3 linked regions of the Danio rerio genome follow. Each later gene encodes a partner of the first gene's protein in a complex. Links are inferred from orthologs where the notes say so. Each region holds a gene or a part of one and is shown on either strand. Other genes may lie near its edges.

What was found. Proteins that work in one complex are often made in the same cells at the same time.
Region 2: the proteins of rps6ka1 (region 1) and s100b are in contact, whole or in part, in a crystal structure (PDB 5CSJ), measured with the Homo sapiens proteins. The link is inferred for Danio rerio from reciprocal best matches to the Homo sapiens genes RPS6KA1 and S100B. Residues at the interface, in NP_002944.2 of Homo sapiens: Ala697, Met698, Ala699, Ala700, Thr701, Ser703; in NP_006263.1 of Homo sapiens: Ser42, His43, Phe44, Leu45, Glu46, Ile48, Val53, Val57, Ala84.
Region 3: the proteins of rps6ka1 (region 1) and magi1b are in contact, whole or in part, in a crystal structure (PDB 5N7F), measured with the Homo sapiens proteins. The link is inferred for Danio rerio from reciprocal best matches to the Homo sapiens genes RPS6KA1 and MAGI1. Residues at the interface, in NP_002944.2 of Homo sapiens: Pro731, Ser732, Thr733, Thr734, Leu735; in NP_001028229.1 of Homo sapiens: Arg480, Gly481, Phe482, Gly483, Phe484, Thr485, Val486, Val487, Gly488, Asp490, Lys499, Ser500, His532, Val536, Phe539, Gln540.

The regions. Positions count from the first base shown.
Region 1 is NC_133192.1:28,645,117-28,649,222, forward strand, and holds part of rps6ka1 (ribosomal protein S6 kinase alpha-1), read left to right. Parts: intron 1-351; coding exon 352-428; intron 429-516; coding exon 517-634; intron 635-706; coding exon 707-844; intron 845-3,235; coding exon 3,236-3,358; 3' UTR 3,359-4,106. UniProt on the Homo sapiens protein: Serine/threonine-protein kinase that acts downstream of ERK (MAPK1/ERK2 and MAPK3/ERK1) signaling and mediates mitogenic and stress-induced activation of the transcription factors CREB1, ETV1/ER81 and NR4A1/NUR77, regulates translation through RPS6 and EIF4B phosphorylation, and mediates cellular proliferation, survival, and differentiation by modulating mTOR signaling and repressing pro-apoptotic function of BAD and DAPK1.
Region 2 is NC_133197.1:13,547,350-13,552,988, forward strand, and holds the start of s100b (protein S100-B), read right to left. Parts: upstream 3,382-5,639; 5' UTR 3,350-3,381; intron 3,077-3,349; 5' UTR 3,046-3,076; coding exon 2,908-3,045; intron 248-2,907; coding exon 98-247; 3' UTR 1-97. UniProt on the Homo sapiens protein: Small zinc- and- and calcium-binding protein that is highly expressed in astrocytes and constitutes one of the most abundant soluble proteins in brain.
Region 3 is NC_133186.1:20,964,053-20,969,642, reverse strand, and holds the start of magi1b (membrane-associated guanylate kinase, WW and PDZ domain-containing protein 1b), read right to left. Parts: upstream 3,382-5,590; 5' UTR 2,877-3,381; coding exon 2,579-2,876; intron 1-2,578. UniProt on the Homo sapiens protein: Plays a role in coupling actin fibers to cell junctions in endothelial cells, via its interaction with AMOTL2 and CDH5. May regulate acid-induced ASIC3 currents by modulating its expression at the cell surface.

The DNA of each region.
Region 1 (4,106 bases):
CCAAATCAGTGACATCATTTATCAATTTGGAAATTTAGTGGTAAAAATCTAAATTTAAAAACAATTTAGTAGTCCTGATCAGGACTGAAGTTGATTAACAGGTTTTATGCAAAAAAAAAAAATTTTAAACATATTTATCTGATGCATTTTACAGCAGTTTAATTCAGTTGATGTGTTTATCCCTAACAACAAAAAGGGTAGTCAATTTGAACAGTGCACAAGGGTTAAGATTTTACAACTATCTTGGCTTCTGTATTGGAAATTATTACTGGCTAAATGACTTCAGATTCTGTGGGATCAGTGTGATGTGGATTTTTAATTTTTTCAGTAACAACTGTTGTCCTTTTGCAGGTACTGAAGAGACAGGGCTATGATGAAGGCTGTGACATTTGGAGTCTCGGCGTATTACTATACACTATGATTGCTGGGTGAGAAGATGCTCATTCACTTCCATTTTTGTAAATATCTTTGCAACACATCCACAACCACTTTCTTTTCGGTTGTTACTTGTTCCAGGTTTACGCCATTTGCCAATGGACCAGAAGACACTCCAGAAGAGATCCTGAGCCGGATAGGGAGTGGACGCTTTACTCTGACGGGTGGCAACTGGGACGCAGTGTCTGATGCTGCCAAAGTAGGCCAATCCCCATTCATCCAGACTGCTTTGAAGGGAGGTGTTTTCTCACACACATGCTTTTCTCTACAGGATTTGGTCTCAAAGATGCTCCATGTGGACCCTCACCAGCGGCTCACAGCCAGGCAGGTGCTGAAACATCCATGGATCGTTCAGAGAGACAAACTTCCCAACAGCCAGCTACAACATCAGGATGCTAAGCTTGTCAAGGTATCCCCGCCTTGAGGATTTTGCACTATTTATATGCAGCATGCATGCCCGGTTCCAGAAAGAAATCAGTTTTTGAGGGTGCTTCTAAACTTAGGGTAGAGTGCTCTAGAAAACTGTAATTATGTAAGGGCCAAGCATGGAAGGTTGATGGTAAAATATTCTATTTAAGGATTACAGTGCAGCCCTAAAATACTGATTAATTGTCATTTTATGACAAAGGATTTACATTACATAGGTTTACTTTCTAAAAGAAGCAGCTTTTTTAAACAAATCATTTGAATGAATGATTCATTGAATCTCTTGGTAAAGGGATAGTTCACTCAAAAATGAACATTTACTTAACATTTATTAACACTCAAGTTGTTCCAAATCTTTGAGTGTCTTTTTTTCTGTTGAACAAAAGAAGATATTTTGAAGTAAGTTGTAAACCTGTAACCATTCACTTCTATTAAAGGAAAAACAAATACTGTTGAAGTCAGTGGTTACAGGTTTTCAGATTTCTTTAAAAAAATGTTTTGTGTTTTTTTAAGATTGCGTAATTCACTCTGACCGAATCCCTCCTCCAGATTCCCTTTAGACTTTAAGAGCTGTTTGTAATGTGGCTGGCAGTATAAATGTCCATGGAGAGAGACAAAGTTTCTGAGGCACAAAAAAAAAAAAAACTCAAAAAGGTTTGAAACAAGTCAAGGATGATGGCGATTTTCGGGGGAACCATCTTAAGACAGGGACTTTTCTTGATCTATGGGCAGTTATGTGAATAACGACACCATAAATAACTTACGTTACTAACAGCGATACTTTTTTCCAGTAATGAGTAATCAAATGAACTACTGTTTCTCCCGTTATAACGCTGTTACCGTTACTGACAATAAAATGTCCGTTACCATAGTTTTCATGCGAGCAGCGTCTCTCAGCCAGCCATAGGACCTCTCTTTTTCTGCGCGGTGTGTCTGTGTGTGTGTTCAGGGCTGGGGCGAGGCACATAACCAACTGGTGATGATGATAAATGTGTCTGAGAACCTGAATATTGGCTAAGATAGAGTACATTTGCATTGTTTGTCAGTCAGAGACAGAGTCGTGCTGGTGTTCACACACAAACACACGCAGTCAGTCGCACACATCAATGACCAGGAGTCAGAACAATGGTAAATCCAGCAAGTTTAAAGGTAACGTTTGCAAACTAGATATATAAACACCACTTTTCCCTCGTTGAGGTGAAAGGCAGGAATGTTTATGTATCATGCAACTTATGCCCAGAAAAATATAGTCTCTCTGCATCGGTGACAAGTAATTCTAATCTAATGAAGCACCTCACAGCGTCACATGCTGCCACAAAATTAGATAATGTGAACTCTGCTACCAAAGGAGGAGATGAAGCCGTGACGTCAAAACAAATAAAACTTAAAATTCTCCACCGTAAACACTTATTACTCAGACAGAATTTAACAAAATAATATCTAGTGTAGATTAGTGAACAGTGTTTGGTAAGAGTTTAATTTGATGGTCTCTATTGCACATTTTGTTGACTAAAAGTTGCATTGCAACTACAAGCCAACTAATTATCATTTGAGTATTAGTAGACTGTCTGCTTAATATCTGCTGATACTGCTCCTTCAACAGACATTCAACTGACTATAAAAAACTTTGCAAGTACGTCAACTTACACTGACACTAACCCTAACCCCAACCTAACAGTCTACTTATAGTCTAATGAAAATTAGTTGGTATGTAGATGCAATGTTATTTAAAAATCCACAAAAATGTGTTAAAGGGACCATTAAAATAAAGTGATACCCAATGTTTTATTTTTATTTTATAGTCATTTGAAAAAATTGACTTTTTAAAGTAACACAATAGTTACTTCCTCTGGTAATTAGTTACTGTTATAATTATGTAACTCGGTTACTAACTATTTGTGAGAAGTAGTAACTATAACTAATTAATATTTAAAATGAATGTTCCCAACACTGCCTACAAGCAGTTATTATTTATTCAATCCTGAAAGGCTTAAACCAGCTAATGTACCGACACAACCTTTATTTATTTTGTTGCTAAATAAAAAAGCGGCCAAAAAAAATCACAAACCCTTGTTATAATCTTTTTGTTTACACTGTACATTAAATGTAATATTTACATTGTATCAACACTTTGAGATGTTTCAGTCACATAAAACTTTTCATACAAAAACAAATAATGTATAAAATGTAAAAACACCTCTGATTGGCCGCTTTGCTCAAAAGTACAGAAGATATGTTTGTGATTGGCTACTTTGCTCAGCACGTTCGTTGCAAACACAAATATAATTGAGCCTTTACTGCTTTCGCATTTTATAGTGACTTGTTTTTTTTACCATAAATGATGGTGTATTATTTGATTACTCTCTCTGCACAGGGTGCGATGGCCGCGACATACTCGGCACTGAAGAGTTCCCAACCACCTCCTGAGCTGAAGCCAATCGAGTCCTCATTCTTAGCTCAGAGACGGGTGAAAAAGCTCCCTTCCACCTCTCTGTAGAGAAGAGGAGAAGTATTCCTGACTGAATGCAGTTGTGGACCGGATGGATGGACAGACGGACGGACAGATGGATGGATGAAAAAAACCACACTGAAGCTCTACAGACTAAAGACGGTCACTTGAACCTGCCCATGACATCAGCACAGGAGGGAAGCTGTCAAGCACACTAGGCAAGGGAGCTGATTGGCTGATGAAGTTTGAGGGGCGTGGTCAGTGAGGGTTCCAGACTCCCTTAGGAGTAAATGTGTTTGTATTTGTTTAGTTTTTTGTGCGTCCAATTTCAAAGAAGCAGGTAAAGGATTCTGTTAAAAAGTAGATGATATTCCCAGTGCATTTATGTCTTGGTACTGTAATTGCTAAATATCAACACTTTTTTTTTCATCCTCAGTTTTTTGTTTGATTTGCTTATATTTTTTTTATCTCTGTATTTTGTTCGATCTGGATTGTCATGTTGTTTTGTGTACAATATGTCTTTTTTGAAAGCCTTTCAACTTTTTTTTTTGTTTTTTTTGTCAGTAGTTCACTTTTGTAGGCCCTCTTTCTGAAAGCTCGGGAGAAATAAAGATGTTCCAGTATAAGATTTCACCCAGATGAATGACTAAAGTAAAAAATATCTTCCATGAGGATCCGGTGAGAATGTTCACACGACTATCATACTGGAAGTGCTCTCTGCATGGATTTGTACAATGCTGTCTTGTTTTCCCCCAACTCAGCACTTTCGTTTCGTGAACGTATCAGCACTGGTGAA
Region 2 (5,639 bases), on another chromosome or scaffold:
ATAAAACAATCCTAATGCGATGAGAACGAAGTAAAGTTTACTGAAGAAATGTATTGAGACTCATTAAACTACGAAAACTACTTTCTTTTATTTAGACTCATTCGTCTTCATGGTGTTCGAAAAACTCATGGCAACAGATGGTAACCATGGTGACGAAGGTCATGAACTCCTGGAAATCACACTCCGAGTCGCCATCGGTGTCCAAACTTTCCATCAAACTGTCCATTGTAGCTTGGTCTTTCACTTGCTAGGGGAGACAAAAAGAGAGTAACCTTCAGAATCACGAATTTGGCTAATTCGGCTTAGCTAAAAAAGTCGTAGCTTCTCTCAAAGTTATGTAACTCTCTGCCTTTGCACATTTGCCAAGTGGATACTATTTCCAATCTTTAATTTCAGATAAACTTTTTTTGTTTAGGATAGCTTTTAATGTTCTGCTGTTTTATTATCCTGTCTATTGCTTTTTACAGCTTATATTTTTATTACATGCTTGCGATATACTGTAAGGTGTCCTTGAGTGCTTTGAGAGGTGCCTATAAATAAAAGGTATTATTATTATTATTATTATTAATTCTAAAATAAAGCTTTGATTGAAAATTTTTAGGAAGATGTGTGTGAAAAAAAATACTTTATTAAAAGTCAGATATACATGTGTGTGCTATGCAGCTCCTAGATCCATGTTTCATTCGTCCACACTCAATTTCACTCTTATATATATTTTTTTTATTTATTTTAAAATACTTTGACTTTCTGACATTTGTTCACCTTGTGTATTTATCATGTGAAGAAACCCTCAATGTTCATTAAGCATGATCAGACCAGATTTGTGTACATTGGAAACAGTCACAAACACAACAAATGTTTGTAGACACTTGCAATTGACACAATTTCAGCATAATTACAAACCAATTCACATAATTTCAAACCAACTGACAAACAACTTGGCATAATTACAAACAAGGCGCTGCTAATTTTTCAAAACTAAGTATAGTTTGGGAAAAAGAAAGGTTTTAGTAAAAAAAAGTAATGTTTTATCAGTTCGCCCACACTTTACTTCATGAGTTTATTATTGTATATTTTATTATTGTATGTTCATTTTAAAATTCTTAAAGTTTGGCTTTCTGTTTTTTTATGAGAGAAAACATTCATTGTAAGGTCTCATTTATTACCCACAAATACACTAAATTTAAGTACCATGGAAAGATTCACAAACACAATAAATCTGTGTAGATATTAGGCATGGGGCGGTATAAGTTTCTGACAGGATAAAAATACCAGGGTTTTACAGTATCACAGTATTGTGATAACTGCTCTAAAATAAGTTAATTTTAAATGTTTGGGTAAAACTAAAAATCTGAACACAGTATATTTTATTTTAGGAAACATTTATAATATTTTGGAAAAGCAAAAGTCAGGCTAAATAGTTCAAATAAATCATTGACTTCTGCAGTCTTCAATTTTAAAAAACACAGAAAAAATACACTAAACAACCCTGACATATACCTTAGGAACGGTATAACAGAAAATCTTAGCGGTTTTAAAACCTTGACTTTTTCAAACCAAGGCAAACCAGTTATTGTCCTATGCCTAGTAGAAATCATTTTTTCACAACTGACACAATGCTGGGATAAAGCTGTGATAACTAATCAAGCATTCCTAATATTTCAAGACAGTGTAGTGTGAAAAAACAAAAACGTTGACCTCAATACAAGTCTGAAACTACGCAGACACTCGATTAATTTAGTGCTTCCGAAATTTGCCAAAACATTCCTTGAATATTCTTTGTACAGTACTTCATCTTGTTTCGCTTTCATAATTTGTCTACCTTGTACAGAAACATTAATTGTAGGTCATTTTTCAATAAAGGAATATTTCACCCACAAATTAAGGGTTAGAGTTTCTTTCCTCTATTAAACACAAAAGTATTTTGAAGAAAACTGTAAAGTCGTAACCATTGATTTCCATAGTAGGAAAAGCAAATTCTGTGGAAGTCAATGGTTACAGGTTTTCAGCATTCTTCACGATGTCTTCTTTTGTGTTCATCAGAATAAAGAGTCTCATAAAAGGTCTGGAACAACTTGAGGGTGAGTAAATAGAGAGTAAATTATTTTTTGGGGGGGTGAAATATCCCTTTAAGTATAGATGTGTGTACTTTTTTCTGTTGTAAACTGTCAATATGTAATATTTTGACACCCATTTTTCTTCTATTTACACAATTTTTAAAAAGTGTACAGTGAAAAATATCTTTACCTTAATAAAAGTTGAAAAATCAAGCATGAGTGGATATTCAAAGGGACACATCACCCAAAAATGTCAATTTAACTCGCGTGGTTCTAAACTTTTATGAGTTTTTGTCTTCTGTTGAACACTATAAGTTAGTTTGAAGAGTAGTTTGGCAAATTAAAGAATAGTTTGACAACTTAAAAAATAGTTTGACAGCTTGAAGAATAGTTTGACAGCTTGACAGTAGTCTGAAACTTAAAGATAATTTGAAAAATGTTGGAATATTGCCATTAACATCGATAGTAGGAACAAAACATACTATGAAAGTCAATAGCATTTTTCTCCCAACATTCTTCGGTATATCTTTTTATATATATAAAAAAAATAAAAAACACAACCATTAAATCTACATAACTTGAACATTATCAGTTCATTATTGTCATTACGTGATTTTCTTTCCATAAATTTTACAATTTGACACCAGTAATTTGTTACCTTCTGGTCGACTTTGTAAAGAAACATTAATTCCAGAGTTGTTCATTAGGCATGATCATAATAAATTAGTATAAATTTTACACTTTTTAACACAATAACTAGCAAACAAAGATTTTTTTACACAGTTCTGACAATCACTTTATTATAAAACACATATTCCCAAGTTTTCGAATCAAAAACAAAAAAAATTACCTCAGTGAGAGTTGGAAACTCATGCGTGAGCAGCTCCTTGAGTTCACTCTTTTTTAATTTGTACTTGTCTCCTTCTTTCGACGAGTATTTGTGGAAGACTTCAATGATGGTTCCCAGGCAGTTCTCTAAGTCTGACATCTTAATGTGCTGCAGCGACGCTCAACGTTTCCTGGAATAATTACTAAAAATGTGAAAAATGCTTGATAGCAATTTCAAGCTGTTTAACTTTTTCCCTCAAATGTCTGCAAACAAGTTTAAGTGTCGGAGCAATTTTATAGACCATTAAGTTTCGTTCTGTCTTTCACTTTTGCAAACACATTTCTAGTCATTATGTAGTTTTTTTTTTTTTTTTTTTTGCAATTTCATCCTCAGTTTGGAAAAGCTTGGAGCAAAATAAGCTTTAAAAACATTGGAATGATAAATAAAAACGTACTAGACTTACCAGCAGAGAGTTTGTCAGAAAGAGGCGATTCTGCAGAGGGAGATGAGAGTCCATTTATAGGTCTGAAAAGGAGGAGCTTGGAGATTTGAGATTCTGTGCTGTCAATCACTGGATCTGACCAATCAGCTTCTTAACTTGTTCTCACTCCACTAGACACACATTTAAAGTCCAGAACAAAGGGGTGAATATATTCACACACACACACACACTCATAGTGTTACACTTGCGACTTCTGCTATAACATGCATAAACTTTTACTGTAATAATTAATTAGTTTTATGCCATTTTAGCTTAATATTAGAATTTATATTAAGTGTATTTATTGTTTTATCAGTATTTTATTGTCCTTTCATGATTTTCATTTCAAAGTAATCATTTAAAGTAGCCAATTCTGTGCACAAAGGCTGCATTTATTTGATGGAAAACACAGTAATAATTGTGAAATAATATTACAATTAAAAAAAAACTGTTTCCTTATTGATTGTAGTTGTAAATTAGATTTATTCCTGTGATTCAAAGCTGACTTTCCATCATCATTACTTGTCTTTAGTGTCACATGATCCTTTGGAAATATGATATAATATGATGATTTGCTGTTCTGTTATGATCAGCTATTGGTACACAATCACTAATAAGGATTTCGTACAATTATTAGTGATGAATTTTCTTGTCTTCATGTATTGTAGAAAATGTGATATATTTTACATATGGGGATACTTCGATAAAAAAATAAAGTTCTAAATAATAATTCTTAGCACACATAAAATGTTAACAAATCTTACTGTTTCCAAACAGGTTTATTCCAACACAATCTCATGGCAATTCATAACTTTTTGATTTTTGAATCTAATTTGTACAATTTCATATGATTTGCTCATCGCACAATGAAGGTTGGGTTTAGGGGTTGGGTGCCACGCCTCCTTTTTAAAATCACACAATTTCGTATTACTGAACTCGTACGAATCCGTTTGAATTAGCCACTAAACTCACAAAACCTAAAATACTTACGTTTTCTCGTGAGATCAGGCTGTTTATTCTTTTATTTAATGTTTTATTCAGTCCTTTCAGTCTGTTCTCAATACATAAATTTTTTTTCAGGCCATAAGCAAGCTATACGAGTTTATATGCAAAAACAGAACTCAGTTTTTATTCATTTTTTTGTTGCAAAGGTTTTTGCAAATGGATTCTTCAAATGTTTAGTTGTTTTCCTTTTCTATTTTAACAATTTAATTCTTTAATAGTAAAAAGCTTTGTTTTATGATTAATGTGTTTAGCAGCTTGTTGTTTTTCAGTTTTATAAATATCGTATTAAGTGTTCTTATTGTTTGAACAACCCTTTTTTGATGATTCATTGTCCTTTAATTGTGTTTTCCAAATAAAATCATTTTATCTAAACATAAAGTTTGTCTTGTCCTCTCACTTTAGGTTATAAGTAAATATAAAGAGTTAATTTGCCAAAAAAAAAAAAAACAGATACCTCTGTTTTTATTAATTTTCAAAAATCATCTTTTATATTTATGAAAAATACTTTTCTATTTTTGCTAATGAACTTTTTATATTTTAATGTACTCTTCATAAACTCTTCATATACTTTTATATATTTTTCCCTTTCTATTCTGATATGCAAAACATAACTTTTTGTAGAGTCGAAAAATGTGTTTCTGTATAATAAGTTCAATTTAATGATCAGTTTATTGTTGTTTTTCAATTTCAGAAGCTTAAGCCTTGTATTGTGATGTTTCGAAGTAATCCTCTTTTCTATACCGTAATCTGGTTTTATGGCCATAAGCATGTATATGTTGTTTTTTTTTTTTTATCTCTTTCTGTTCTGCTTTTGATCTTTCCCGAAGTTCTGTTGCCCATAATCGCACACAAGTGTTTTGTTGTCAAGCGTCTCGGTGGACGACAATGGTGTGTTTGAGAGGAAGTGAGTGGTGTGGCATATTAATCAGACGATCCTTTTCTGTTATGGAATTGGCCAGACGTGTGTCCTAAACACCAGCGGACTGTTAAACAGCTCTGACACTGAGACAAACACTGACTCACACACTACTCTGAATGATGTTCTCTACATTTTCAGGGAGTTTTAGCTTACACTGTAAAAAATAAATTCCACACAATCGATTTGTGTAGGGAAAACATTAAGGAATGAAGTTAACTTATTACTTCATTTATAATTACCTTATTTATAAGTGAAGTGAACATAAAACAATTAAGTTGCCCAGAAAAAAATCAAGAATTGTGTTGTTTCAGCTCTTTTTATTTAAGTAGTTTGAACAAACGTCATTTT
Region 3 (5,590 bases), on another chromosome or scaffold:
TAGATGCCCTTGCAGCCGCAACCCAACACTGGGAAACACCCATACACTCTTGCATTCACACACATACACAACGGCCAATTTAGCTTGCTCAATTTACCTATACTGCATGTGTTTAAACTGTAGGAGAAACCGGAGCACCCAGAGGAAACCCACGCCAACACGGAGAGAACATGCAAACTCGACACTGAAACGCCAACTGACCTAGCCGGGGCTCGAACCAGCGACCTTCTTGCTGTGAGGCAATCATGCTACCCACCGCCACCGTGACACTCTCTGTACTTTTTAATATGTTTAACTTGATTGATTAGTTTTACATTTTCTGTTAATTTATTCTGAATTCAAATTAATTTTTAATTATCAAGTTTTATGGTGTTGGGTAATTGCATTTTAATATATTTTGCAGAAAAAAAATGAACAGGCAAGACTAGCAAAATGAGCATTACTTCCCAGACCATGAATCTTTTTACATTTTCCTTACTTTAAGACTTCTAAAACTGCCATCTCTTGTAACTTTCATCTCTAAGTGGTCCAACTCTGCTGACATTACCAATAAAACTGTTTTCTCAGCTGAAGAATAAGAGGCTTATTCCATCAATCAATACAACAGCGTTGAAAGGTATTCTTATTACATATTACCTCCAGAGAGAGAGCTGCCAGGGCACAGACTGTTAGTGAGGTCACCACAGGACTGAGTGTATCTTAATGTAAAAATCAATGAGGATTAATGAGTGAATCTGTTGTGCGCTGCATTAACTGTGCCTAAGGTTATGAACAAGCCATGCTCGTGATTAGAAACACTATACAATAATAACAGTCTGCACAAATAAACAGCTCCATACAACTGCCTTGAAGACCCACAGGTGCTTGTTGTATGAACAAAAGCGTACAAACTCTTGAACCACACGTAATCCACTTCAAGCAGAGCTTAATGCATTTCATATCAATAATTCATACTGTAGTCCAAAGCACTGGGAGTTTGAGATCATCTGTGTGCTGATGTGAAAAATAAAAGACGTTTTTTCGTTGTTGTTTCGCAAACTCACAGAAACACAGATGGCATGTGTTGCCAAAAAAACATTTTCATAATTAAGGCTGGTTACAACAGAAAACTCCCAGACAGCATGATAGATTATAAACAGCGAAACTCAACACCAGAATGTATATGAGGAGTATGTGTGTGTGTGTGAGGGAGAAAGCTGGATCTGGGCCCGGTGGTGCTCTGGGAATGCAGTCCGAGTTGATTGGCTGGTTTCCTGATATTGTCTGAAGTCATTTGGTGAAATAGGCAGAAGCATAGAGAGAGGGAAAGCAGCATAACTCAAACCATGTGATGAGGCAGAGCCCTGTGGGGAGTCACCACTGCTTTAGCACAAAGGACGGTCTGTAGTGCCTTTACCTGCAAATTATGCTCACTCGTCAACTTCTCATAAAGGATTAAAGCGGAATACATCACCAATGGGTGTAGAAATGTGAAGAACGGCTTTACGTGTGAATTTATTTAGGAAATTGTACTTTAAAATGTATCAAAGACTGTACAAAAGAGTGTTCAACATTATCTGACCTTCTGTCAAAAGTTTTTTTTTTTCAGTTCAGCTAAATGTAACCTGGGGTGAAATGTTATCCAATGCCCTTGAATAGAGATTCATTCATTATCAAGTGCGAAATGCTTTACAAGAAGTGCAAAACAAGGCTGCAAATGTATGAAAAAATGCATAAGTAATGCCACATTTTAAAAACAAATGAAAAAAATGCAGAAACTACTGCAAGTCCACCATGTTTCAACAAATGAATAAACAAATAAATAAATAATCTATAGTGAATAAAAAATAAAATATTTATAATTAGGTAAAATGAGAAAATCAGATATTTATTATAATAAATCACTTACTGTAGTAATAACTCAGCTTACTGTATTTGTTGCAATAAATAAACAATAGAAAAAAAATTATTATTTATACAGACACAAATAATAATTTTAGCATATATTATGTTGGTGTGGTAATGATTATGTACAGTTTGCAAATTAGAAATAAAACAATAAATAAAATATACATACTTTTCTTACTGTATTGATCAAAAGAACTAAAATATTTATCACAAATAATTGTTTATCTATTCATATCATATTATGTTATTGGACATGAAAAATAATAACAACTACACCTCCTATCACCCCCACTAACATAACAAATAAAAATACAGAATTAAAAGATAAACTAAATAAAAATGTAGTTATAAAAGTAAAAGTAATAAAAGTAAAGGAAAACACATTATGAAATAACACAAATTAAGAAATTTTAAAATAAAAGCATGCTTCTTAACAACCACTAGCCCTATGCAGTCACATGCAAACATGAATAAATATTTTTATAAATACAGGCCTATTAGCCAACAAACCAAGTCGCCAAGCCTATATTTAGTGAACATGTGAAAATAAATAAATAAATAAATAAATAAATAAATAAATAAATAAATAAATAATACCCGGCTAATTTTAGGAAACAGTTCCTCAATGGCTTGTTTACATGAAATGCATCACACAAACCAAACAAAAGTGAAGGGGAATCGCTCTGCTTACCTTGCCTCACAGTTTTTAACCTTATAGGTCCTTTGCAGTTCTTGATCACTGTCAGCACATCATACAGCGGCAATCCAGAGACAGAAAGCGTCTCCACTTCCAGCAGTAATTCCCCCTCGGACACTTTCCCATTTCTATACTGTACGGCGGTCTCGTTAACGTGTCCGATATAGGCGAACTCTCCGTTCTCCGCGCCACCGAGCAGCTGCACGTTCAGCTCGCCACGGGCGTCCTTGGAGACCGAGCACTCGTTAACTTTGGTGGTCCAGTGATTCTTCTTCTGTACCACTTTGGACATGATGAATCAATAAAATCCGCACAGAAACAGGTGGCTCCGCTGACAGACGACAAAACGAAACACTTTCATAAAATGAAATATCCCACGCGGTAAACTTTCTTCTCCGTCCGCTCAGTCATGAATGCAGCGTCTTCGCAGCCCCAAAAGATCCAAGAAAAAGCTCAACAAAAACAAAATCAAGCCATTGTCCGGCTCTTCACTAAATGAAATTCCCACTCCGACCGCTTCCTTAATTAGCCCGTATTGTTTTCCTCATCCTCGCGCTTTAATATTCTCGGTTGCGCGCATCTGCTTGCCTTTTCATTTCATAAACCTCTTTAAATACACTTCTTCAAGTCTGAAGTTGTTTTCAAAATAGTTTAGCGGTTTCTTAAACACTTAAAGTACCATTCCAGCAGTTTTCTTTGGCACACAGGCAGTGTTAGCGAGCGTTTCCTCCTGGTTCACGGCTCCTTTAAACAGGTACAGCGTTTGACGTCTGTTTTGATACATTTCATCCTGTTCTGCCTGCTCGCGACTCGGGATGGAGCGAATGTCACTGGAGCGCATGCGCATTATTTCCCTTCGGACTCCTGAAGGCAATCCTCACTGCGCACGTCACCAGGTCCTAAAGCCCGTCACGAAAGAAATCATATTTACGAACCTAAGCCGATTTCTGGAAACTCTTGATTAAATGTCTCTCCCCATATAAATCTTCAAAGGCCCTCCAAGTAAATAAATTTAAACATACTCCATGAATAATCGCACCTGGACTTTATACAAGGCTATTATCAGCATCTAAAACTGGTTAATGACATTAATTGAAAACATATCCAGATTCAAGGTGTGAGCTGAAAATCATGAAAGATTTTTGGTTTTTTTTTTTGTGAAACTTGCTGTTTAAAAAGATAAATATTCGTTCCTCAATTTGTTGCACAACCAGTTTTGTCTGTTTGCCCAGACTGTTGCTTTGTGAAGAAATTTAGCCTGGCGTAAGCGTTCATCCCACATGAATCCTTGTCAGTCATGTTCGACCTGCCTATCATGTTTGATGTCCGAAAAAATTTCTTATTTTCCAAACTCTTACCAAAATAAATCATGATTCATTACAAATAGAATTTCCATTTGTCTATTGTCTATTTGAAGATTATTTACTAAATTCTTGGTTTTATCCTCTTGAAGATTCTTACTGGAATGAGGGTTCATTTAAATTATACAGTCAACATTTAAAGTGAATCAAAACAATTTCAAAATTGTCCTAAAACTATGAACCCTTTTCAGATTTTCGAGTTTCTCAGTAGCAGAAGTCTTAGTGGATAAACTTAGAGCACAGTGAATGGGAGTGTACAACAATTTTTTTATATATACAATCCTATTTGCTAAAATAATATAAAAATTGGCAATGATGTTTTCAAGACTTTCAGAAAATAGAAAAAAAAACTATGTGATAATGACAGACAGAAGAGAAAGCATCAAATTTGCTGTTCTGCCTATACACTATACACTGCATTTCAAACATCTGCATAAGCGGTAATTCCTATTTTATCATTTGATGCAAAGATGATAGAAAACATACATAAATAAATATAAATGTTAATATGCTTTTTTTATTAAAATATTAAAAACTTTCAAGTATTTAAGATGCTGATGACCATTAAAGACATTATAACACTGAGTTCCTTTACATGGCCACCAGTAATCAAATTTTGATATGATTAAGACAAAACTCTGATTAAGAGTTTACCATGTAAACAGAGGATTTTTCACCATGTTTTTCGGCAGTATATTCTATACACACAAAGCTGTATGACACTATTCTCCACATCTATTGAGTCAATAAAGGACTACAGACACACATCCCACGAAATGCAAAGGTTTTTTTTTCTCTCATTCGGCATGCGGTATCCAATTTCATTAAAACTTCCAACATTCTTTAATTCATAAACACATCCAATACCTCAGTTTGTCACCGGGGGCATGAATGAAATGTTTCTGAATGAAACTGAAACTGCCTAACTACAGTAAAAGCCGAAATATTAAAAATGAAACATCTGAAATTACATGAAACTCCAGAGGAAACGTGGATAGCATGATGATGCAACAACGTTTATCGATCTTTGTGCTGTAACATGTAAGACAGGATCATAAAAGGAACATTCACAAAGTAACTCGTGTAAACACCTTAATCATATTATTGCTTATTCAGATTAAGGTAAATAATTGGATTACTGATGTCCATGTGAACATAGTCAGTCTTGATAAAAGAGTCTATTGTTTGATCTGGATCCACTTCAAATTTGAACTATTGTATATGTAGTAAATTGTAAGTAAATTGCTCCATTCATGCCTTTTACATGTGCCTTGAACGCGGCTTCCAAAATCACATTAGCCTACTATACATTATGTAAAACGAACAATATATGAGTATTTCAGAATTCATAGTATTTTAAAAAAAAGTAGGTGAGAAGTATCCAGAAAACCTATTCCTGTTGCTGAGATTCTAAAGGCCACTTTCAATAGACACTTTACCTTCTCATGAGGCCATGACAGGGAATTTATGAATGAAAGTGAAGAAGTAGTGGGTTAAACAATAATAGTGCATTGGGACAGACATGAAAAGTAGTCTTGCCTATAACCACACATCAGCATTATTATGGCCCACATCAACATTATTATCAAGAAAATAATTATTATTAATGTCAATATTGTCATCATTATCACTCTCGTTTTTTTTT